Linked DNA regions of Mus musculus. The main gene of each other region encodes a partner of the protein of the gene in region 4 in a complex. Links are inferred from orthologs where the notes say so. Each region holds a gene or a part of one and is shown on either strand. Other genes may lie near its edges.

What was found.
Region 1: Cacna1c (region 4) and Cacng1 share a complex: the UniProt entries of both Homo sapiens proteins name them as parts of the calcium channel complex. The link is inferred for Mus musculus from reciprocal best matches to the Homo sapiens genes CACNA1C and CACNG1.
Region 2: Cacna1c (region 4) and Cacnb3 share a complex: the UniProt entries of both Homo sapiens proteins name them as parts of the calcium channel complex. The link is inferred for Mus musculus from reciprocal best matches to the Homo sapiens genes CACNA1C and CACNB3.
Region 3: Cacna1c (region 4) and Stac3 share a complex: the UniProt entries of both Homo sapiens proteins name them as parts of the calcium channel complex. The link is inferred for Mus musculus from reciprocal best matches to the Homo sapiens genes CACNA1C and STAC3.
Region 5: Cacna1c (region 4) and Cacnb2 share a complex: the UniProt entries of both Homo sapiens proteins name them as parts of the calcium channel complex. The link is inferred for Mus musculus from reciprocal best matches to the Homo sapiens genes CACNA1C and CACNB2.
Region 6: Cacna1c (region 4) and Cacnb1 share a complex: the UniProt entries of both Homo sapiens proteins name them as parts of the calcium channel complex. The link is inferred for Mus musculus from reciprocal best matches to the Homo sapiens genes CACNA1C and CACNB1.

The regions. Positions count from the first base shown.
Region 1 is NC_000077.6:107,702,718-107,706,476, reverse strand, and holds the end of Cacng1 (voltage-dependent calcium channel gamma-1 subunit), read left to right. Parts: intron 1-625; coding exon 626-700; intron 701-2,034; coding exon 2,035-2,172; intron 2,173-2,586; coding exon 2,587-2,813; 3' UTR 2,814-3,259; downstream 3,260-3,759. UniProt on the Homo sapiens protein: Regulatory subunit of the voltage-gated calcium channel that gives rise to L-type calcium currents in skeletal muscle. Regulates channel inactivation kinetics.
Region 2 is NC_000081.6:98,633,345-98,637,566, forward strand, and holds the start of Cacnb3 (voltage-dependent L-type calcium channel subunit beta-3), read left to right. Parts: upstream 1-1,422; 5' UTR 1,423-1,824; coding exon 1,825-1,869; intron 1,870-1,949; exon of another isoform or gene 1,950-2,030; coding exon of another isoform or gene 2,031-2,057; intron 2,058-4,222. UniProt on the Homo sapiens protein: Regulatory subunit of the voltage-gated calcium channel that gives rise to L-type calcium currents. Increases CACNA1B peak calcium current and shifts the voltage dependencies of channel activation and inactivation.
Region 3 is NC_000076.6:127,500,430-127,504,485, reverse strand, and holds the start of Stac3 (SH3 and cysteine-rich domain-containing protein 3), read right to left. Parts: upstream 2,801-4,056; 5' UTR 2,750-2,800; exon of another isoform or gene 2,502-2,749; intron 1,805-2,501; 5' UTR 1,703-1,804; coding exon 1,637-1,702; intron 1,397-1,636; coding exon 1,132-1,396; intron 919-1,131; coding exon 821-918; intron 631-820; coding exon 570-630; intron 1-569. UniProt on the Homo sapiens protein: Required for normal excitation-contraction coupling in skeletal muscle and for normal muscle contraction in response to membrane depolarization. Required for normal Ca(2+) release from the sarcplasmic reticulum, which ultimately leads to muscle contraction.
Region 4 is NC_000072.6:118,604,996-118,608,495, reverse strand, and holds part of Cacna1c (voltage-dependent L-type calcium channel subunit alpha-1C), read left to right. Parts: intron 1-2,181; coding exon 2,182-2,283; intron 2,284-2,996; exon of another isoform or gene 2,997-3,500. UniProt on the Homo sapiens protein: Pore-forming, alpha-1C subunit of the voltage-gated calcium channel that gives rise to L-type calcium currents. Mediates influx of calcium ions into the cytoplasm, and thereby triggers calcium release from the sarcoplasm.
Region 5 is NC_000068.7:14,957,306-14,960,805, forward strand, and holds part of Cacnb2 (voltage-dependent L-type calcium channel subunit beta-2), read left to right. Parts: intron 1-1,460; coding exon 1,461-1,583; intron 1,584-3,349; coding exon 3,350-3,486; intron 3,487-3,500. UniProt on the Homo sapiens protein: Beta subunit of voltage-dependent calcium channels which contributes to the function of the calcium channel by increasing peak calcium current. Plays a role in shifting voltage dependencies of activation and inactivation of the channel.
Region 6 is NC_000077.6:98,019,828-98,024,088, reverse strand, and holds the start of Cacnb1 (voltage-dependent L-type calcium channel subunit beta-1), read left to right. Parts: upstream 1-1,461; 5' UTR 1,462-1,663; coding exon 1,664-1,747; exon of another isoform or gene 1,748-1,890; coding exon of another isoform or gene 1,891-2,010; exon of another isoform or gene 2,011-2,086; intron 2,087-4,261. UniProt on the Homo sapiens protein: Regulatory subunit of L-type calcium channels. Regulates the activity of L-type calcium channels that contain CACNA1A as pore-forming subunit.

The DNA.
Region 1 (3,759 bases), on a different chromosome or scaffold from region 4:
GACACCCATCACTGAACCCAGCTTTTTACACAGTTGCAGGGAACCCCCATGCTCTGTAGCAAACACTTCAACAGCAGAGCCATTTCCCTAGGCCCTGGAAATCTTTTGAAAAATGCTGTTCCCTGGGTCCCACTGTGAATGGACCTGGGGTTCAGGTCTGGTTTGATCAAGGTGCTTCCTCATCACTGTTAATATTCCGTACTGGATAACTGCTGTGTCTTGTGGCTTGTGAGCTGAGGGCTTTTGGTACAATCCTTGGCCTCTAGACATTGCCTGGGAGATGGATCCATGTGCAGAGATCACTGGTTAATTGCTAAGCTTGCATGCCCCCTACTTTGGGAACAACATGAGCCCAGGTCTCAGTTACCCTAACTGCCTAATGAGCTCAGGGTTTGCACACCGTCCGCCCTGAGATTCCATCACCCTTTACTCCCTGAGGCCATCTCAGCCTCCTTTTGGAGGCTTTCCTTATCTGCTGAAATGCTGTGCTAAAAGTCAGGGAACTGTTTGGCCCAGATTCAGAATGTGGGCGGAAACAGGTAGCCAGAGCCAGAGGGCCCCTCTGTGCCCTGTGGCGAAACACCTGCCCTTTCTACCGGCTCACAGACTGTCTGTTCCTTTACAGAAAAGAACTGCTCCTACTTCAGGCACTTCAACCCAGGGGAGAGCTCGGAAATCTTTGAATTCACCACTCAAAAGGGTGAGGCCCTTGGAAGCAGGGGCGGTGGGAAGCAATTTCTGTCACAGGCTGCTGAGCCGCCGGGAGTCACTTGGCAGAAACCTGCTGACTCCTGCTCAGGATGAAAAGTAGCTGCAGGCTGTGCCCTGTCACATCCCTACACACAAGGGGTGGTTCCCCGCCCAGGTTGGTGTTAGGGACGGTGGGTGAAGAAGACCTGCCAGAAGGCTGCAAGTTGCAGCTGGAACGTATTCCAGCAGAGTCCAGGGCAGGGAGCTTTGAAGGGTTCCAGGACCTACAGTGCTGGAGCAGGATTCTGGGGTGGATGAATGGATGGGTGAGAGCCTCTGTGAGGATGTGGGAGTCCTGGCCACACTTAATAGATCCCTGAGCTGAGGAAACATGATAATCCCATCCTTCATCCATAGAACTCGGAGACCTCATTAGCAGGTACAGCCTGGCCTCTGGGAGAATGAGCCGCCACACAGCGTGTAAGAGCTGACTCAGACACACTCATGCACGTGCTACAGATCCTCACGTCCGCACATGCACACACAGATGGGTCTTCATGCACAAAGCAGGGAACAGACATACTTGTATGCATGCATACACATGCCAACAGAACCTCACACATGGGACACACATACACACTAAGAGTCTTAATGCAGGGAACACTCATGCATGCATGCATGCATACACCAGCAGACCTTCACACATGGAAAATGTATACACACTGAAAGCCTAATAAAGGGAACACTTATACACACACACACCACGCATACACACACAGAGATCCTCATATATGAGGTACATACAAGTGTACCCACGTATACTGACAGATTCTCTCTCTCTCTCTCACACACACATACACACACACACACACACACACACACACACACACACACACTCATACAAATTCTCACATGCAGACACAGAGGCACATACTCTGATGGATTCTTAGGCAGCCCCCACACATCCACACCCACACACTGTCAATCTTCCGGAGTCCCCTTGTCAATCTGAGACAGACCACCTACAGCTCAGTACCTCCTCTGCCTGTCACTCAGGAGGCCTTTGGCTCTAAGAACATCTCCAGCCACGTGGTGTCCCACCTCCTCCTGAGGCCCTTTTTTCAGAGAACCCTACACTTTAGTTCCCCGGGGAAGATACGGATGAGTTCGTCGACAGCACCTGTCCCCACTCTGCCCTAGAATATAGACTTTGAGTAAGCCTCGCTCATTCGGGTGTAAAATGGGAATCCTGGATGCCCAGAACTTCGAACCTCCTCGCTAAGAACACTGACAGTAGGAAGTGCCTGGAGAGGCTCTCGCTCTGAGGCTCCCTCTCTTTTGCAGAGTACAGCATCTCAGCAGCGGCCATTGCCATCTTCAGCCTCGGCTTCATCATTGTGGGTTCCATCTGCGCATTTCTGTCCTTCGGGAATAAGCGTGATTACCTGCTGAGGCCAGCATCCATGTTTTATGCCTTCGCAGGTAGCGTGGGGTCCTGCAGTGTCTGAGTGGGAAGAGGACTCAGGTTCCACACAGGAACAAATTCAGTCAGAACTCAGGTGACCCCAGGAGGGCTGGGAGGGAGAAGGCTTGCTTTGTTCATTTTTCCCCCAGTGACACTTCCCTTGGGAAGGACACTGGCCAAACCTTCCCAGTGAGTGATTAACAAGAGAAGGAAGGAAATGTGGCGGGTCTCTGACTAACCTCCTGCAGGAGGTGGGAACTGGACGTTTGGGAAGTGGTAGGCGTGGATCACTTTTGTAGATTCCTGCTTAGAACAGTCTAGAAGCAGTTCCCTCTCAGGACCAGGTCAGAGGCAGGGAACAGAGGTTGGGGGAGGACTGAGGTGGCAGCAGGAGCACCAGCAGTCACTGGGACTCTTGGCTTTGTCCCCAGGGCTCTGCCTCATCGTCTCCGTGGAGGTCATGAGGCAGTCGGTGAAGCGTATGATTGACAGCGAGGACACGGTCTGGATAGAGCACTACTATTCGTGGTCTTTCGCCTGTGCATGTGCCGCGTTCATCTTGCTCTTCCTCGGTGGGCTGTTCCTCCTGCTCTTCTCCCTGCCTCGGATGCCTCAGAACCCCTGGGAATCCTGCATGGACGCTGAGCCAGAGCACTAGATCAAACCAGAGTCTTTCGGAGGTGAGGAGGGAGTTTCACCTCTGCCCTGACCTCTTGTCTCTCACGTGTCTCTCCCTCTGAGCTCCTCTACAAACAGTGCACATGGACACAAACGCAGACCTGCCCAGGGTCAGAGGAAGCAGGCCAGCAGGTATATGAAAGGGCCCTCCTCCGTGCCTGCCCCAGCTCAGGCTTGCCCACCATGCCTGACGGCTGTGACGATCTGGTCTGGTCATCTTTAGAAAGCTTCCGGGAACAGCCTGTTCTCATTCTGCAGTTCTGAGCATCGCGGGTGTCCTGAGTCAGCTCCTCCCCCACTCTTCTCCGCCATGATACGAACCCCTCCTCTGTGAACTGAACATCTCTCCTTGGCTTCCAGGATTCCCAAGAGACATTTTTGGCTGGATAGGATCTGTGGTTTGAAATAAAAGATCTCGGAAATGTTTCCTTTTTTTCCCATATGCCTTGCACAGCAATTGCTGGTATTCCTGGCCATAAACTGCCCAGCACCCTAAACCCTGGAGAAAGAAAGGAAGGTGTGTCCTCTAGGGTAGTGGTTTTCAACCTGTGCATTGTGACCCCTTTCACAGGGTTTGCATATCAGATAGTTACTTTAGAATTCATAACAGTAGCAAAATTACAGTTATGAAGTAGCAATGAAATTAATGTTGTGATGGGGGGGGGGGTCACCATAATGTGAGGAACTGTATTAAAGGGTCACAGCATTAGGAAGGTTGAGAACCACTGCCTGGGTATTGAAGACTTTTAGAGAAGAGGCAGGTTAGCTTAGAAGTTCTGAATTCCAACTTGAAGGTCTGAGCCCTGGAATTGTTTGGAATGAAACTAGAAACCTTGTGGCTTGGGCAAGGGTGTTAAAAATAGGAGGGGTTATTTCTAGAGTCACCCAGCCCCTCTCAGCTCTGAAGCCCCATGGTCTCAGCTCAG
Region 2 (4,222 bases), on a different chromosome or scaffold from region 4:
AGGGGACTAAGGAGACAAAGGAAAAGGATGGTACAGGACAAGGCAGTACTTGGGGACACAGAAGATATCGAACTAACCCTCAAACACACTGGGTTGGAGCAGTGGAAGCTGCCTCCCCCAGTTGCAGCTGGTGCCCTCAGACACAAGGGCTCCAATAAAGTTGCCTGCCGGTCCTTCAGTCAGGAGACAGACTAGGGTGTCATTAGATGAGCCCCCCCCCCCATCTTTTTCTTACCGAGGGAACAGGAAGATAAGATATAGGTGGGAAGCCAGTTGGCTTGGGTGGGTGGTCTTCCTCTCCTTTCTACCGCACAGAACCTTCTATAGATCTCTTGAACCCTTCCCAATTGTAACCGGAAGGGTGGGCAAGTGTCCTGAACTTACACCCTCCGGGGTTTCAGGAGCTAGAAGTGGCAAAGGGCTGAGTTGAGAAAGCGAGACACCAAGCACGGCTGGTGTCTGCCTCACATCCTCTTGGGATGCCCAAGCAGGAGGTTAAAATGCAAAAGGAAAATTTTGGTCGGGGGGGGGGGGGGAGGGATGTAAAAAGGGAGCGAGCTCAAATGATGACAGCTTTTAGAAGATCTCTTCAGAGATTGCGACTCTTTCCTCGAATGGCGGGGTGGGGGTGGAGGGCGCTGACTGGTGCTGGATGATTAGAACCAGCATCCTGCACACCGTACGTAATTCTGGTCTTTTGCAAAGCGGTAGGCTTTACCCTTCTTCCTTCCCAACCTCAGCGTCAGGATCGCACCTTTGCTCCACCCTTTAAGCTCACCTAAAACAGCCCCTTTCTGCCCCAGTTCCCGCGGATGCTTTGGCAATGTCTGGCACAATCCTTGGCAGGGAAGTGAAGAAGAGAATCTCCATCCCGGCTTAACTTGGATAAAATCTGCCCGTGCAACAGGTGTGGGGAGGCCTAGCCACCGTCCCCGAACTTCCCCCTTCTTAAGGGTCGGCCCTTTACCGCAGCCCGGAACGGAGAGGGCCGGGCACCTGTTGGGGCAGGAGCTGCTTTCATGGCACGGGTCTGGGAGCTCAAAACCATTTCTCCCTAGTACCACTGCGGGGTTTGCTTTGGGTGTCTCCAGGACTTGCAGAGAGCTGACATTGCCGGATCACCTGAGACCTCTTCCCCATCTGCTGTCCGTCCTCCTTTAGATCTCCATTTTCCTGTCTCCGCGTTCTCCCTGCCTCCAGTCCTCCTCTCTCTCCAGCCATCCTCCCCGCCGCCCGCACCCTCTCGATTCTCCACCGGGCTCGCGTCTGGTTGCGGCGTCTCTCCCCTTCCCCTCCCCCGCGCCAGCCCTTTGTTTCCCGGCGGAGCAGTTCCTGGGTTGCGAGAGTCCCTGTCTCTGCATCTCTCCTCGCCCCGCCTCCTCCCCGCCGGGATCCGCCCCGCCTGCAGCCTCTCCGCCCTTCTTCCCCGCCGCCCCGGCCCCGGAGGTGCCGGGGACCCACCTTCCCGACTCGCGTGCGCCCGGTTCCGCGGCCCCGGCGGGTCCCCCCTGGCTGCCGCGCCCCCGCCGCCCGCGTCTTCCCGGGAGGGGGTCAGGTGGGCGGGCACTATTGTTGTGGGAGCCGGCGGCAGATTCCTCAGCCGCGCTGGCGCGCTCGGGGTGGGACCGGCTGGGCTGGGGGGTGGGGAGGGGAGCGGTGATCTGAGCTGCGAGCAGCTGGTCTTCGCGGCTCGCTCCTTCCTTCGCGCTCGCGCTCTCCGCCGCCGCCGCCCGCAGGGCTGCGCGGCTCGGTGGCATCTCGGGCGCGGCCCGCCGTCCTCGCCCCCGGCGCCGCTCGCTCCCCCCACCCACCCCGGACTCCCCCATGTATGACGACTCCTACGTGCCCGGGTTTGAGGACTCGGAGGCGGTGAGTGCCCGCGGGGGAGGGTGGGGGGTGGGGGTGGGGGAGTTGGGATGACACCTCTCTCTCTTCAACCCTTCCCCCAGTTCTGCACTTTGAAAAACGCCTTGGCAGCGAGCGGGGCAGCGCGCGTAAGCCGGCGGGGGGCTCTCTAGGAAAGTGGGAAGATGGTCTCTCATAGCCAGGTATCCCAGGTACTCCGGTGTGTGCACAGGGACGCTGTAGGGGGAAGGCTCGAGCAGGTGGCCCCAAAGCTCAGGACATAGGAGGCTGAGGAGGGGAGGACAGAAGGCCCCGACACCGAGGTTTTTAGAGCGAACATGGAACATTTGGAGTTCCGTATCCTGGGTTCATGGGGTCTGAACACAACAGGGAAAGCTGAGCTCCGGGGGAGACACTCCGGACTTGTGCCTCAAGTAAATGACAAATTAGGGAGCTGGAAGAACATTAGCGACTCGCGTACCAGCCTCTGCAGACAGGAATTCTAGAACTTGGTCTCTTTTTCCTCTCTGCCCACCCCCCCTGCGCATGGCCTTGACTGCTCTCACTCACCACTGCCTCTAGCTCAGCTTCTTGGAAAGGCCACCAACCACAGGGGTGGGCCATCAGACTGTGTTCAGTCTAGCCCCCTGCAGAGGAGGGCCTGGAGGTGAGGCCAGGGGAGCTCAGGGGCATGGGGATGGGAAGGAAGCTCTTTGCTCCGAGAACCAGGCAACCAATAAATATTTAATTCTTCTCTTTGCTTTTATCTCCTGACCCACTGAGACAAATCAGCTCATTAGACAGTGATTCCCGGAGCTCAGAGAGCAGAAAGACTGCCTGGAAAGATGGGACAAGAGTTGGGGGGGGGGGTCAGTGTCAGAGCCTCATGGAGTCACCAGTCTCCCCTTAGACATCCCACTCGATATGGGAAAGGACCACTAACAGGGCTTGAAAGGGTCCCCTGACAGGATTAAATCGAGCCTTTTATCTCCGGCCCAGGAAAGAGGAGTGGTGAGCCTCAGAGCAGGCATGTGTCAGTCAGTTGATTCTGGGACCAGGCTCCTTCAGGACCCAATTTTCCATGGGGCTCTGGGGCTAATTACGTTGCAAGGGAGAGCAGAGAGGTGGTTCTGAAGGCTCTGGTGGGCACCTCTTTCTGACAGTTGAAGGGACAGTTGGCATAGCCCTGGGAGTCAGAATAAGCTGGAGGAGAGACCTCTCTGCGGGGCTGCAGGGCCCGAGGAGCTACCTTCTCATCCCTGGTGAGAAGCCGGGGCTGATGCAGGAGACTGATACCTGGATGTTATTTGAGGGCGGCCTGCTGACCCATTGCTCCCTCCTGACCTTCCCCGGTTCTTAGATCTCTTCCCCCCCAACTTCCCTTCCTCCCGCCAGCTCCTTGCTCTCCCCGAGGCCCCCTCTGAAGCAGTAGGAGGGAGATCAGGCTCTAAATAAATCCACTGGGCTCATCTCCCTCCTCTTCTTCCCCTGTGCCAGGCAAGAGAGGAGCTGCAGCCTGCCCACACACTCACCAGGCAAGGGGGGCACCACTAGGGCACTGTGCCAACTCCAGCAGCTCCAGAGTACTGAGACGCTCTGGCTTTGGGGGCATAATGGGTGGGGAAGTAAGAGCCTGCCATTCTGCAGGGTAGAATGCTACCTACTTTCTAACTGGTACCAGACCAGCGTATGCAACCCCCCAGGACATGGGAATTATGGAAAGTGGCTTCCATTCAGATCACAACCCATTAAAGAATTTAAGGAGAGACCCTGTCAATCTCTAGGGTTAAGAGCTCACCTAGCCTAGATACCCCAAAGGCATTAAGGACTAAATTGGACTGAGAGCTTGGATCTGGGGAGGTGGAAGCTACACTTCTCCCAATACCTGCTGGGTACTGAGGAAGTATCTGATCGTAGGTGGTCATCCTCCAAGGCCCTTTTCACCTGCTGGTCTCTATCTATCTATCTCTATCTTCTGCCAGCCACACCTCACAGCTAGCGTTTACATTCTGGGAGTGAGGTCCCTCACCCCATGTCAAGGTCTTGTTCTCCCATGGTTGGAGAGAGGGGGGCAGCAGACTGGCCTGTACTTCTGCAAAACAAAAGGCCTCCCCAAACCGCTACCCAGTTCTGGGGCTGCCTCAAGACATTTGGTTTACAATAGACACAGTCTTTAGCTCAGATTCCAGGGCTGCCAAACACCTAGCTGACCAGCCCTCTTGCACACCGGAAGGGCTGGGCTGTAGGCCTGGTTGACAGCAGGGGTGTGAGTTTGCCTTTTCCAAAGAGTCTGGCCTCTGCTGCTTGTAGGTAGGTAGTCATAGCCAGTGGCTTTAAGAGACTGTTCTTCAACCTCAACATTCAGAAACCTCTTTCC
Region 3 (4,056 bases), on a different chromosome or scaffold from region 4:
TGCCAAATACATCTGAGCCAGTTTTCAGCCCCTCACCCACCCTGAACACTGTGACCACCAAAAGAAACATGAACTTTGAACACAGGCCTGCCACTGTGTTTCCTTTTTTGAGTCAGCCTTGCTGTGTTGCCCTGGCTCAGAGAGACCTGCCTGCCTCTGCCTTGTGAGTGTGGATTCAAGGCCTGTACCATCAATTCAACCTCAAGGAATACACTTTGAAGGCATGCCAGATTAGGACCTTTTTCTGGGGGGTGGGGTGGGATATCCATAGCTCTTGAGCTGGCCTCTGGACGTGGAATCACTCTGCAACAGGGTAAAAACAGACTTAATCCTTGTTCTTGCTTAGAAATGGTTTAAAAGGAGCTGTACTGCTGGCCTGCTCATTCACATCTCTTGGCTATAAACCAAGGGACTAACCATTGTATCCAGAAATGGCTGTAAAAAGTCTAGACTGCGGTAGAGCTATGGAGATAGAATGACCCTGTTTCAGAATTTCTTTTCCTAAACGGGTAGTATGACACCACCTTGGAGGCCTGCACCCCTCCCTCGGATCCTGTACGGGTACTTACAGACAGCGTACTGTTGGTCGCTGTAGAGTGGGGAGCTATAGGCCCGACGGAAACCAGGTGGCTGGAGGCGGGATGGGGAGAACATTAGAAGCGGCAAGGCAGGGTCCAGGATCCCACCCCCCACGAGTGAGTGCTCAGCCCCTCTCAGAGTAAGGTAAAGCAGGAGATGTATGGAGTGGCTTTAGGGGCCAGAAAGGAGGACCTGATTGCCCGTGCCTTCCCTTCCTGCTCCCCGGAGCCTCACTACTCACGATCTTGCCGAAGCATCTCTGCATCTCCACGTAGGACTGACAATGCTCATGGATGTTGGTTTTGCAGTTCTTGCAGCGGAGTCCAAACTTGTTATTGACTTCAAGGGGGAGAACGTTTGAGTGAGGTTCTGGATGCCCCCCTTCCTTCACCCCGTGGCTACTTCAGCTCTGGCCTGCCTGCCTTCTACTGTCAACCTCAGCGCTTTCATAGGGTGAATCTTGCCAGTCTGTCTATACAGACACACCTCTCCTTGGTCCTGTCCCTCCCCGTGAGACTTCCATCCTACTGCCTCTGCTTCCCCAAGACTCACGCACAATCATCCGGGCACAGACATCGCAGAACTTGGGCTTCTTGAAGAAGTGATCTTTGAACTTGTGGGGCTTGTCGTTGACGAGCTTAGGAGGTTCTGGGGGTGGTTCCTCCTCTTCCTCCTCCTCCTCTTCTTCCTCATAGATATAGTAGATGGGCCCACCCCCAGCCCCCACCGCCTCTCCATTGGCTTGGGGCTCTGGGGGAGGCTCCATCTCAGCTGTCTCTGGAGAGCCCTTCTTGAATAACTGCTTCAGTCGCTGTAGCTGAGGGAGGGGTGAAGGAAACCCATCATTAAATGACAGTCATGGTCTCATTTTCCAATCATGGGAAAGCAACGTCCCTGGTATTAGGGGGCTGGGTGTTGCAGGTGTTGGCTATCCCAATAATAAATGAGACGCACACAAGCGGTTTCAATCCGAGTAGTTTTCTTCAGAGGCTGTGTGATGGCTTCCCAGCCCTTTGGACCCCGCTCCCCCCAAAAGCGGACATAGGTCCAGACTCACCCCACTTTGCGGAGTCTCTCCTGGAAAGGGGGGCTGAGGGGACTCCACCACTTCCTTTTCTGTCATCTTACAAGAGATTGGGCCCCGCTATGAGTTCTAATCTCTGTCTGCTGTTCTTCTATTCCAGCAGTCCTGCTGCACACAGTAGGGTGGCCCTCGAAGGGGAGCCTTTGGGAGAAACTTGGTTAGACAGCTTTGGCAGAGCTTATGAAGAGATTCTATGGAGGTCCCCCGAGAAATGTCCAACAGAGGAAAGACTCCCCAGTCAGTTGCTTACACGGATACTTTCCACATCAAGGAGCAAGCCCAGAGTCTACAAATCCAACATGCTACTCAAGGCTTGTCTTCTAGGTTCTTCTACAGCAGTTCTCAACCTTCCTAATGCTGTGGCCCTAACGCTGTGGTACCTTGTGTGGTGGTGACCCATAAAATTATCTCACTGCTCCTTCACAACTATACTTTTGCTACCGTTATGAATTGAAATATAAATATCTGACATGCAGGACGTCTGCTATGCGACCCACAGGTTGAGAACAGCTGTCCTACAGGTAGTTCTGATCGATGATACACATCTTCTAGTGGCTTCAGGAGGTTTAACATGGTTAACACGGTTAACCCGTCTGCGTGTCTGAAGGTGTGTCCAGAGATCTGTCCTCCCCTACCTCTCTCCTGAGCCTTGGGGGCCTTGTGCCTAGTTCTTCCCTGGCCTGCCTCAGGCCTCAGCTATTTTAGGTTTTCAGAGTAATGTGAGCCTTCCCTTCCCTTACCCCTCCATTCCCTGGACCCCACCACACCCTACCCCCTTCTCCAATCCTCACTCATCCTGAACTAGGACAATTTCACTTCAAAACCCCAAACTACTCACAGGTGAGGAGAGAGACGAAGAAGCCCAACAGACTCAGGTTAGAAGAAATGAAAGGATAATGAAGAGACGACTTACTTTCCAGACTCCCTAAGTCAGTTCACTGTGGAAAGGGGTCTCTGAGACCTTGATGGTGCTGCTGGGGAGGGCTAGCCCTCTTCCTTCAGGGAGGTAAGCCCCCTTTCTGGTACCTTCTGGACCCACACCAGCTACCCAGACAGTATTAGTAGGTAGGCCTTGGAGCCTCTCACCGTGGTGGCAGAGCTGAAGTGACAGGGCTGGAGGACAGTGGACAGCTGAGAGCACAGCTGACAGGGAGAAATTGGAACCAGGAGGTCTGGGGCAGGGCTCGACCCTGACTCCTCCCATCCCCCCCCCCCCCCGCCCCCCAGAACAGCTCTTCTCCGAGTGTTTACACAGAGCAGGTCAGTTCTGGCTTATCAGGAATAGGCATATTCTACCCAATACAGTAGCACCCCACTCCAAGTACCAGGGATTGAAAACAGGGTTTTGCCATGCTAACTATGTGGCTAGACTGCCAAGCTATACCCACAGCAGGAAAGGCACTCCTGTTCAAGACGCAGTCACGTGAAGGACTTTAGATCTGATAATGGAACCCCCCATACTCTCCCCTTAAGGTTCAAATAACCGTTCCAATCTTACCCTCCCTGGGCTCATTTCAATCACGTTCTTGGATTTTATTTCCTGCCTCCCCCACCCCGATAGGTATCTTTGTGTGGGCCTGGCTCTCCCAGAACTTGCTCTGTAAACCAGGCTGGCCTTGAACTCAAGGGATCATTCTGCCTAGCTCCTGAGTGCTGAGATTAAAAGTATGTGCCACCATGCCTAGCTAACACCAAAACTTCAGGCTAGGAAAGGGATGGGAGCTGAGAAGAGGATGTGACTCAGAATTCTGTCAGCCACGAAAGACTTTCTCACTGGCAGCTGATCGAATGCAGTGCTTTCTCAAGTGCACGGGTGCATTTTTCTCCCCTTTCGCCTAAAATCCTGTCCCTAAGATGAAGAGAATGTATGTTACTGAAAAAGATGGTGGCAAAACCCAAAAGCTATGGGGCTGGAGAGATGGCAGAGCTTCTCTTCCAGGGGACCTGGGTTCAGTTCCCAGCACCCACGTGGCAGCTTACAGAGCTCTGCGACTCTAGTTCCAGAGGACCTACACCCGCAGACACGCTGTATATTTAAACGCATGTAGGCAAATCACCTATACACATAAAACAAAAATAAACCTTTTTAACAAGAGTCAGGTCGGTCCCTGTATAGTTAACCCTGGGAAGGTTACAGCTGCCTGTGTCCTTCTCTCGTCTGTCTGTCTGGATGTGTGTGAGTGCAGGTGTGTGTGTACGTCAGAGGCCATCCCATGGGATCCAGGGATTGGGCTCAGGCTACTGGGCTTACACACTAGCCAATCTCGCCAGCCCACAGCTGCCTTCTGTAATGAGGTTTATTTCTAAGTATACTTTCGTTTATCGTTTAAGCTATACTAAGTGTGTATACTTACTGGGGCATGCCCTCTAACATGTGGTCAAAGGACAACGTA
Region 4 (3,500 bases):
AAATCTAAAAGATGTGGAGGATCCTTTGGGAAATGCGTCCGTGCCTTAGGTCTGAACAAATGATCTTGAATGTGGTTCTTCTCACAATTTACGAGAGCAGACACCCAGAGTGAGGTGTTGGCAGGCTGGCTCTTTCTGGAGGCCTCTGGTAGTCTCGTCGAGTACCTGGCTCCATCCTTCGTCTCCGCTGCTCTCTTCACGGTGTGACTCACCTGTGTGCCTCTGGCCTTTTCCTCTTGCTCTAATGGCACCAATCACGTGGGATGCATGGTCCACCTAACACATCATTATTTCACTAGTGAGCTTGGTGAAGACCCCGTTTCTAGATAAATTCACATTCTGAGGTTTCAGGGAGACATGAGTTTGGGGTATTTTTTTTAACCCAGTGCAAAAGCTAAGTTCATTGGCACATTGGTTTGCTCAGGGTTCTTTCACTGCGTGTGTCAGAAACCACCAAGACCAGAAGGATTGTACACACCTTCATTCCCAGCGTCTGAAAGCCCGAAGCAGGAGGATCATGAGTTTGAGGCAAATCATAGATACATGATAAACTCTTGTTTGAAAAAAAAAAACAACAAACAAAAACTCCTGGACCACCTTTAGTGAAGGGAACTGAAGGCCTGTTGGGATGCCTGGGAGGGGTTCTGGCTTCAGTGCAGTATGAATTTGATGCTCAAGGCGCTCAGGAGCCATTGCCCTCTCCTCATGACCGCCACTGCTTGCCTCCCATGCCCTAATCCAGAGTTGTGCCTGACCTCAGGCCGTCTGACCCCAGAGCTCACACCGTTTGCCATCCCCTCCCATAACTGTAGCTATCAGCTATCAGCCATATCCTCTTCCCATCGCTCTACAGCAAACCCCATAGACTTCACATCTTCAAACAACACCCAGTTATTTAGCTCCAGCTCTGTCCGAAGTCCAGCCACAGAGAAGTGTGGGGAGCTCTGCTCAGGGTCTCAGTACACTAATTAGGCCATGCTCCTTCCAGAGGCTCGGGGGTGGGGGGAGGGGTGGGTGGGGATGCTACCTCCAACCTCATTCAGGTTGTGACCAGGATTCTTCTCTACTTTGTGGGAGGTCCACTACTTTGTGGATCCACGAGTGTGTGGTCCCCGCTTCCCCACTAGATGCCTGTCACCTGGGGATGTCTTAGCTCCCAGAGACGACTTCCCTCAGTATGCAGTATTCATTCATCCAGGCCTCTCAGAGTCCATGTGTCCTACCAGTCTGCTACCAGCCAGAGAAGGCTAAAATCAAGTAATCTTTTTTAGTAAATACACAACGAACAAAATGTTATATATATATTCATATATATATGAATGACTTCTGGACAGTTAATAGGCTCCTGGGATTAGATCAGAGAGATCATTTTCCTTTGGTCAGGTAATAGGTGCTGTGTGACATAATCTAATCATATGAATGCCTGTATCACATCCTCTCCAAGGGATTACACAGTGAGTGTGTGCACACTGCTGGCAAGGGACGGTATCCTTGGGAGGAGCGTAGAATCCTATCTAGCATATCCCCTCTTACAATGGGCTTTTAGCTTTGCTTCTCCACCAATAGGAGCCTAGTGTCTCAAACAGCATACATCTAATGCTACCTGTTTTACCAGTGGAGAGAGGAGGTCCGAACTACCAGAACATAGGCCTTCTGGTTTCTTTTTAGATTTCTTTACTTCCTTCCCTGGGGGACTCAGCAGAGGGCCTGTGGATACATATGTGGCCCCTGTGTTGTGTATGTATGTGGGAGGAGTAGACCGTCCTTCCCTCGAAAGGTCTCCATTTCCTGCAACAGCACAAGGAGCTCACTATGAAATGCTCCCATCATGATCTGCCTTGGCGCTGTCCTGCAGGGCAAGCACTGTCAAGGCTGAGACAGGAATGTCTGCGGGCACCACAGGCTCTTTGGTGCTAACCAGGAGGGAAAGCAGCTTAGGGGTTGGGGAAGGACTTGGGGCTGGCTTGCATGGAAGGAGGGAAGGAGAATGGCCTTGAACAGGGGAAGAGAGGAAAGTCACAAGGGGGATAAGATGATAAGATAGAGGGGGAGAGGGGGAGGAAATAGGAAGGCAAGGGAAACAACTGTGATGGATCAGGGCGATTTGTGGGGCTAAGGCCACCACTCGTGGCTTCCCAGTGCATCCAGGGGAGGTTTTCAATGTGCACTTCGTTCTATCAGGGAACCTAGAGCAAGCCAATGAGGAGCTTCGGGCCATCATCAAGAAAATCTGGAAGAGGACTAGCATGAAGCTGTTGGACCAGGTGGTGCCCCCTGCAGGCGGTAAGTGTTCCAGGCATTTGCAAACTGGGGCTATTTGCCTAGCCTGTGGGGTTTCGTCTCCTTCCTGCTGTCCTTAGCTGAGCAGACACAGCCCTTTAGACTTCCGTACTTGAGTCTCCCCTGCTTCTGGATCCTTCTACTCTGGACCCTTCCGAGGGTTCAGAGGTCCTACCAGGTTGCAATGTCCTACACACACTTGAATGCAAACTGCCAGGTTAGAAATCTGCTGTAACCCCATATTCATCTGTGGGAATAGGCAAGTCCTTCCATGCTGTGGGTCTGGCAGAACTTTCATGGGAACTCTATAATATATGGATGTATGTTTACCCATAAGCCACTAGGGTGACTGCTCTAGAGTTGCTCTAGAGCTCTGGAAGGAAAGTTGCCTGAGATTCATCATATCTTTTCTAAAAACTCATTTTTTTCCCTAGAGTAGCATTTCTCATGCCTACCAAGCCACAAGCCCCTTTTCCTAGCAAGTACTTCATACCATCCCTGCTAAAATCCAAAGTTGAAATTGTAGATAACATGCCTGCGCTTGTAATTTCCACAACAGTAGAATGCTTAAAGTAGGGTGTGTTAAAATCATCTGCATCCAATATACAAATGCATGGTACACCTATACAAAATGCTATGACGACTGATGGAGTCCACACACACAGACACTTAGAACGAGTAACTGTTGAAAGGAAACAAGACAGTGTAAATATTGTCAGCACTTTCATTTGTTGCATATATTTTATTAACATGTTAGTTGAACCCACGCATTCTGGAAACATCTTCAGGGGGTGATTCTTCCTGTTTGAGACCCACTTCCGAAAGGGAAAGCAAGGTAGGCTGGGAGTCACCGTGTGAGGTCTCATGCTCTGCGGCATCATTTTCCTTGCTGCCCGAAGTGTCTCTGTGAGGTTCACACCAGGCACTGGTGTTCATAGAAGAGATACCGGTTTTTCAGTGAATTCAGTGTCGACTTAGGCATCCAGCTCAGGCCTGGAAGAACCTAGGACTCCAAGTCCATTCCCAATTTACCTCATCAGGAATCTCCAGGGTTTTCTCTTCCATGTAGAAATGAGTCCCTGCCCCACAGCAAGCCCAGAACTTCTGTAGAGTTGGGTTCTCCAGTTGGCTACTCTCAAGGGACAGTGATGATCAGGAAAGCCATCGCAGGTCCCCAGGCTCAGCCCAACCATCTGTCGCTCTCACACAAGATGAAGGGG
Region 5 (3,500 bases), on a different chromosome or scaffold from region 4:
TATTGATTTGGTGATCCACTAGGGTTTACTCCACAAGGTAATCCGTAGTAAGCCTTTAGTTCTATTTGCCATAAAGAAGGCAGTAAAGCACAGACAAGTTAATAGTCAACATTAAAGGATGTAACATATGCCACATGGCATATTGGCACAAGGTCATAAGAAGTGAAACTGGGCTCAGTGATGCACTTCTACCTCAGGTACCTCAACCTCACAGAAGGAAAGCAAGTTAGAAAAGGATTCAGGAATAGCACATGAGACTGGCCTGAGAATGCAGTCCTAGAGCAGTAACATAGTTCCACAACAATGGAGTGACCACTCTGATTCTAAGCCAACCTGATATCCTAATAATGACCCTGAATCAAAACATGGATGTAAATGTAATGCTACAACACCCAGCCCTCCCTGCAGAAGCATAAACAAGCAGGGCTGTGAGATAGCCCCAAGTCTATGTAAGCTATTTTCTTTGTCACCTTATCTTCAACTCTGATAAACCTGGGAAGCCCATCAGACTGAGGCTGGGAAAAAGGTCGCTTGAACTCAGTCTCAGAGCTTCTCCTGATTTTCAATCTAGAAGGCTGACCCAGCTTTTCTGCCCTCAAGGTCTAGATCATCTCTTGGGTCCCACTGTGTCCCAGATTTTAGTACTGGTCTATAACCATGCTTTCTGCTGCTCTGCCATCCCATGAGCCCTCTATAAGGCCAGGGTGTCTTAGCTTCTGTTTGATCTTATACTCAGGAGAGAGGAAACAAGAAGGGAAAATAGTCACTGGTCTCAGAATATGCATGCCACACAATCAACCTCCTTAATTTATCTATCTCCAGAATATACAAGTATTGCCAATAGAGAACAGATACTTATCTGTAAATTTTCAGAAGCACCAAAAAGTGAAAGATGACTAAATGAATGTTATCTTTAGTGGCTGAGTGAACTCAAGGAGGAAAAATGGTTGGATAAAAAGGTCAGTGCTTTCGAAATTCCCTGCAGCCATGAATCCTTGCTAAGGCTGAAGTGTATATTCTCTAGTTATTTTTCCATCTCAAACATTATACCACTGGGAAATACATTGTTATTGCTTAATTGAAATGGATATTCAGGGTACGGAGGATGTTTTTATCGTTTTTGCTTTTTCCTATCCAAACCAATGAATTGGGCATTGTATATGTGTCCTGTTTTCAGATTGTTGCCTGTTGTAAGGTTGAAATGCATATTTCATTCATATATCTTGGCTTTTCTTCCCTCCGTGCTTTCAAAAAGAATAGCTCTTCTTTTCTAGTTTGGAAGTGGGTGGATGTGGCTGAGAGCTATCATATTCATTGAGAATATTAACAAGCTGCTTTGTTATGATGAACCAATGGGAAGAAGTAATTATTCCAACAATATTTGGAGGGTGTCTTTGTACTTAAGGGAGAAAGGCACTGTCATTTCTTTTCTTACTGTTTTTCCTCCCATCCCTTTTTAGACAAAACCTGTTGCATTTGCAGTTCGGACCAATGTCAGATACAGCGCAGCCCAGGAGGATGACGTTCCGGTGCCTGGCATGGCCATCTCCTTCGAGGCCAAAGATTTTCTGCATGTTAAAGAAGTAAGGAGAATTTGTTTCCTTCCATGTGATTTTTCACCTTCAGCTCTCACTTACTTCTTAGTGTTGTGAAATAGACTTAGTTCTAGCTGCTGTTGTATAACCCACAGCTAAATCGGTGTCTCAGAACCTTTTCTGATATAAATAAACTTCAATGTAGAAAGGAGTCAGAGGCTCCTAGCAGGATTGCCAGGGCCCCTTTGGGCTTTGTGCCCCAGAAATTAGGAACTATTTTGCTGAGTGATCCAATTTTATGTGTGCCCTGCCTTTTATCTCTTAATGATTTACCTTGATTGACTACTGGTAATGTTTTTCCTGATGACTGAAGTCAGAGCCATATAAGGAAGAGGCTTTTTAGGTTTTTGGGGTTTTGTTTTTTGTTTTTTGTTTTTTGTTTTCTTCTTCTTCTTTTTAATGAGACAAGATTTCACTCTGTGGCCCAGGCTGACCTAGAATCTTTTATGTGGCCCTGGCTCTAAAACTCACTATATAGCCCAGCCTGGCCTCAAATGTGCTACAACTCCCTACTACCCACCATCCCTCCCTCCACTTCATTCACCTGGGTGCTGGGAGTCCAGTTGTAAACGTCCATGCCTGCCTCCCTGGAAGGGTTCGGTTGCTTCTTTCTACCAGAGAAGCATCATTTCTGCAGCAGAATGGAATGGTGGGAAATAGAGCAAATGAGACATGAAGGAAGCTGATGCCAAGAAAATGTTTGTTACCCTAAACAGACAAGGACAGCCTTTAAATTAGAAAAATTCACGTTTAATTACATTTTTTTTTGGTGTCCACATATCACATGTGTGCTCTGTGGGACATGATAATTTTTCCTAGAGTTCACTTTTTTTTTTTTTTTTTTTTTTTTTTTTTTTTGGACCTGAGGGAATTTAGAGTTGGAGGCATTCACACAGGGAGAGTATGAAAATTAACTGGGCCATGCACTAACTGATGCAAGTGAAGGAGGCTAGAGAGCTCACAACTGCAACAAGTCATAGACAAAGATGTAAAAAAAAAAAAAAAAAGGATGCAAAAAAAAAAAAAAGGAAATCCAAGTGTTCAGAATTGATGGTGAGCATCCACAGGAACGGGTGAACATACAACAGGAAGTTAAACTAATATAGAGACTTTTCTTGATGCTAATACCTTGAGCAGAATCATTTTGTACTACAGAAAGAAAAATCATGAGCTTTTTAGAAAATACTTGATAATAGATTTAATTGAGGAAAATAAAATTAGATCCTGAAGATTCAAGATAAATATTTACCTGCAAGATAAGCTACCAGCATAAACATGAGAAAAACCACGTGTGAATGCTGTACTGTATGCCTATAAAACTGCAGAGGTACATTTTGCTGATACAGAATATTTCAAGTATATTTCAGTATTCCTCTTCAATATTAATACTTTGAATTAAACCAATTTCATAAGCAAAAGAACTCTGCAAGACTTCCTAGATTGTCTCTTGCTAGGGATATTAATCTTTGAATGTTGACCAATTATTACATATCTCAGCTTAGACCTAAATGCAGCACTGGAAAGGGAAAAACAAGGAGATGCAGTCTCTATTGGACTGCTGGCTGGCCACACCGAGCTGGGCACACACTTTTCTGAGCTGAACACACAAACCCAAAGGCTTCTTGAATTTTGGTATTAGATGTATGCTTCTAACTGCCATGTTTTTCTCCCGTGAAAACAGTTGATGTAGAAGAAGTCAATTCAGACGTTTAAACCTCTTGAACTGATTCTAATACTTTGGATTTTGTGTGTAGAAATTTAATAATGACTGGTGGATAGGACGGCTGGTTAAAGAAGGCTGTGAAATCGGATTTATTCCAAGCCCAGTCAAACTAGAGAACATGAGGCTACAGCACGAACAGAGAGCCAAGCAAGGGAAATTCTATTCCAGGTATGAACAACAAC
Region 6 (4,261 bases), on a different chromosome or scaffold from region 4:
TCCCATGCTGCTCATTAAGCACCCCCAGAAGCCCAGCCATCATTTTTTTGTTGTGGGACTTTTTTTGTTTGTTCATTCATGTTTTTTTTTAAGGTTTATTTTATTTATATGAGTTACTGTAGATGTCTTCAGACACATCAGAAGAGGGTATCAGAAGCCATTACAAACGGTTGTGAGCCAACATGTGGTTGCTGGGAATTGAACTCAGGACCTCTGGAAGAGCAAATAGCTAGTGCTCTTAACCACTGAGCCATTTCTCCAGCCTCCTTGTTCATTCATGTTTTGTGACAGGGTCTCTCTATGTAGCTAAGGCTGGCCTCAAACTCATGATGTGATCTAGGCTGGCCTCAAGCCCCCAACATGGCTGTACACCATCAGACCCAGCTTCTGGGCCTCTTACTGTTCTCTCATCTTGCCAAGAATTTCAGTGGGCAAAGATACCATAGTATTAGCAACACTGTAGGAAACAAAGAATGCTTGTTTGTTTATTTGAGACGGGGCTTCTCTATGTAGCCCAGGTTGTCCTGAGGGTCACTATGTAAATGAGGCTGACCTGCCTCTGTCTCCATAGTGTTGGGATTAAATGTGTGCTCCACCACTGCTTGGTGGAGGTCGACCCTTTTAGGATCCAATAACCAGCTGAGCCGGAGCCACAGTTCTGGGACATTTGTTCCTCAGTCAAGGATAAAGGAGAGAGACAACCCTAGGTCAACAGTCATGGTGTATAATTTTGAATAGCTCCTCCCCCCGTTTATACTTCCTCCTCTTCCCCTTCTCTTAGAAGCAACAGGGACTTGCCAAGCCTGACTCCTGGCCTTTTGGAAGAGCCTATGAGACCTCAGTAACTGATGAGGTCGAAGCATTCCTGGGTCCCTGGATAGCAATCCTAATGTCCCTGGTGGCCTTCTTTGGACACTCACCCCATCATCCAGGCCCGGCTGGGGCCAGTAGACCTAGAGCCCGGTTGGAGAGGGAGGTCTACTCAGCTAGTTTCATGGCGGCCTGGGCCTGACACTGGGGAGAAAGGAGTTAAAGGCAGGTCCCAGGATCACAGGGACCGGGAAGTTCCGGTGGCCCAAGCTAGAGTCGCTCAGGGAGACCAGCTGAGAGAGTAGTTTGGGACAGAAAGGGAGGCGGTACCAGTCATACCGAGCGGCGTTTCACCACCTCCCCACCCCCCCATCAACGCTTGGCACACACTGGTAAACGCCCCCCACCTCCATCCCAGCCTCAAGGCCGGTTTCCCCTTAGTCCCCTGCAGGCCGCCCTCATCCCAGTCTAATCGGAGGACAGCGATCGAGCCCCTCCACGTTCTGGAGGCCAGCGGGGCTACGCCACTCGGCCATTGTCTGCGCGCAGCCGGTTGAGGGGCTCGAGGGGCGGGGCCGCGGCGCGGGGCGGGAGCGAGGGAGGGGCGGGGGGAGATGCTGAACCTTCAGGGGCGGAGGCGGCGGCGGCGGCGACGGCGGCAGCGGCCGCAGAGAGCACAGCGCGAGCCGGGAGGGCAAGCAAGGCGGCGAGCGTGCAGCCGGAGGTCCAGCTGGGAGACTGCACCCGGTGCTGGCTGCGCGACGCCGCGCTGCTCTGGGCTCGGACGGCCTCTCCCATGCGCTGAGAGCGCCCGGCTGGGCTGGGAGGGCGGCCGGACCGGAGGATCCTCTCCATGGTCCAGAAGAGCGGCATGTCCCGGGGCCCTTACCCACCTTCCCAAGAGATCCCTATGGAGGTCTTCGACCCCAGCCCACAGGTAAGGCGAGGTGGCAAGCTCGAGGGAAAGGGCCGCTCCTACGGATCTTGGGGTCGGCTTGGAAAGCCCCGGGAAGGAAAGGGTTATATGCCCCGCGTGGATGGGAGAGGGGTGTCTGCGCGACCCTCCATTCTCGAGGGTTAATGATCGATGGACTATTGGTCCGAGTCGGGTTGCGGTGCTGCGGAGCGGAGAGGAGGCGGTTGGAATGCCTGTCAACCTCGCCTCCAGGTCTCCCCCGCGTCCAGGTTCCTGCTGCTGGGGTACTGGCTCCAGCAGGCTGACAGCGGGGATGCTGATGGGGGTTGGGGGGAATCCAGGCCTTGAGAAGCGGAGTTGGAGGGAGGCTGGAGAGCGAATCGGGCGAGGGGGGCGACGCAGAGCACGTTTAGGGGCGCTAGTGGGTGTGGGTGGGGCGGGGGTAATACTGGGAAAAGGCCTAGACGATGGTCAGAGGGCGTTGCCAACAGGCCTTCGAAGGCTCAGACATTGGCTTTCGAAGGTGGAGAAGAGATCAGCTCAGGGAGGCCCTCCCCTAGTCACCTGGTCTCCATCCCTGTCTTGGATGTTTCCCTACTCCCAACACCCACATTAGCTTACCCCACCCCCTGCCCCAAGGGGTGGGAGCCGCCAAAGTTTGGAAAGTTGGATGGGTGCCAACTCACTGTCTTGGAGTGGAGGTCGCTGTTTTACCTGGGGGAGGGGCGCTGCCCTCTAGCACGTTCACTTTTCCTATGTGCCTGGGTTATTCCTAGGTAGGGGCGTTCTTGGGCATACAAGGTCCCCCTAGAATGACCAGCAGGGCATGTGGTGGCCATGCCAGGGGATTTCTCTAGGACTTGTCCTTCTCCAAGGATAGCATTAACACTTGCATTGCTGTGGCCAGCCTGGAGCAACTGTAAGCAACATGATGTGGTTGATGGGTGTGTATGGGGGGGGGGGTCAGGTCAGACCTAAAAATACTTCGTCTCTCCACCCCAGGCCCCTTGGAGTCTGGGAGGCAGCTGACTGATGCCTTCCTTTCAGCTGTCCCCTGTCCCTCTGAAGGCCACTCCCTTTGCCCAGCTGGGGTGAGGTAGTGCTGTGAAAGAGTCTTGAGGTTCACTGTAGAATGCTCTTAGGTCTGTAGAGAGCCTCAAAACTAGTTTAGCTGTATGCTCAGTTTTAGAGAAGGAAAGAGGATCATAGAATATTCAGTCCTATTATTCGTGTGTGTGTGTGTGTGTGTGTGTGTGTGTGTGTGTGTGTGTGTGTGATAGAATCTTATATAGTCAATGCTGGCCTTGAACTTATGATCCTCCTGCCTCTACCTCCAAAGAGTAGAGAATCACAGGTGTGAGTCACTATGCCTGGCTCACCAGCTTCCTTGTCACCAGGTCTCAGGAGCCAGAGCCTGCAGTGTCGCTGAGGTGCCTCTAGGCTCTTTGGTCAAAGAAAGTCTGGGATAGAGGTTAGGGGCAGGAGCTTTTGGGCATTCTGCCCATCCTGTACTGGGCAAGGGCCAAGAATATGAAATATGAGTGTGTGTGTGTGTGTGTGTGTGTGTGTGTGTGTGTGTGTGTGTGTATGAGGGGGGCACAGAAGCAGCTCCCATATAGGAAGCAAAGAGACACTCAATGCCATAACTTTGGCATATGAGAGGTCAGACAGGATCCCCCACCCCAGTTAGAGCCCACTAAGAGAGATTAACCATCTTACCTGGTACTGGCAGGAGTATATGTTCTAGTCTCAGCTTGGGGTGGGGCCACAGGGCCTTTAGATGGATGGAGCAGGGTTAGTATGATGGGGATGGGGCATGGGCAGTAGCAGCTGGCGTGGGAGTAGAGTGAATCCTGCCTTGGGGGGGAATATAAACACTGATTGCCAGGACGGAGGCTGAGAGAAAGTTCTGCTAGGGTGGAGGCAGAGTGGGAAGCTGAGCCTACTCTGAGGCACCTAGGCACCGGCCACAGGTTGGATGTTTAGTTTCTCCGGATGTGGCTGTTCTCTACCTCCTCCCTCTTTTCCTTCCTCAGAAATGTCTTCAAGCGCTGAATGTCTTTCCCTCCCTACTCAGGGGCTCAGGGGAGGAACCAAGCCAGGCCCTGGGTTGCCTCCTCTCTCTGGGGGCACAACACACACTCTGCCCCCTCAGCTCCAGATACAGGGGAGAGGACATCCCCCTCTCTTCCTCCACCCCCCCCCCCAGCACTGCAGGCAGCCTCTCCCTTCCCTGGAGGCTGCTGCAGCCTGCCCAGCATCTTAATTAGCTTTGCTGCCTAATGAGCCTCCCGTTCCTCGGGCCTTCTGCTTCTCAGCCTTCTGCTTGATTTGGGGGATTCCTGTGTGTGCATCCCAGGCTCGCTTGCAAAGGTTCCTCATGGTGACTGTTGTCTGGGCATTGTCAGTGAGGTAGAAGACCCTCTTTCCTTTCAGGCTAGCCACCTCTATGGAGGAGAAGCTGAGGACAGGGGTGGGGCCAAGCAGAGCGTCCGTCCCCAGGCTAGGCTGGCTGTATACAGCAGCAGCCCTGGT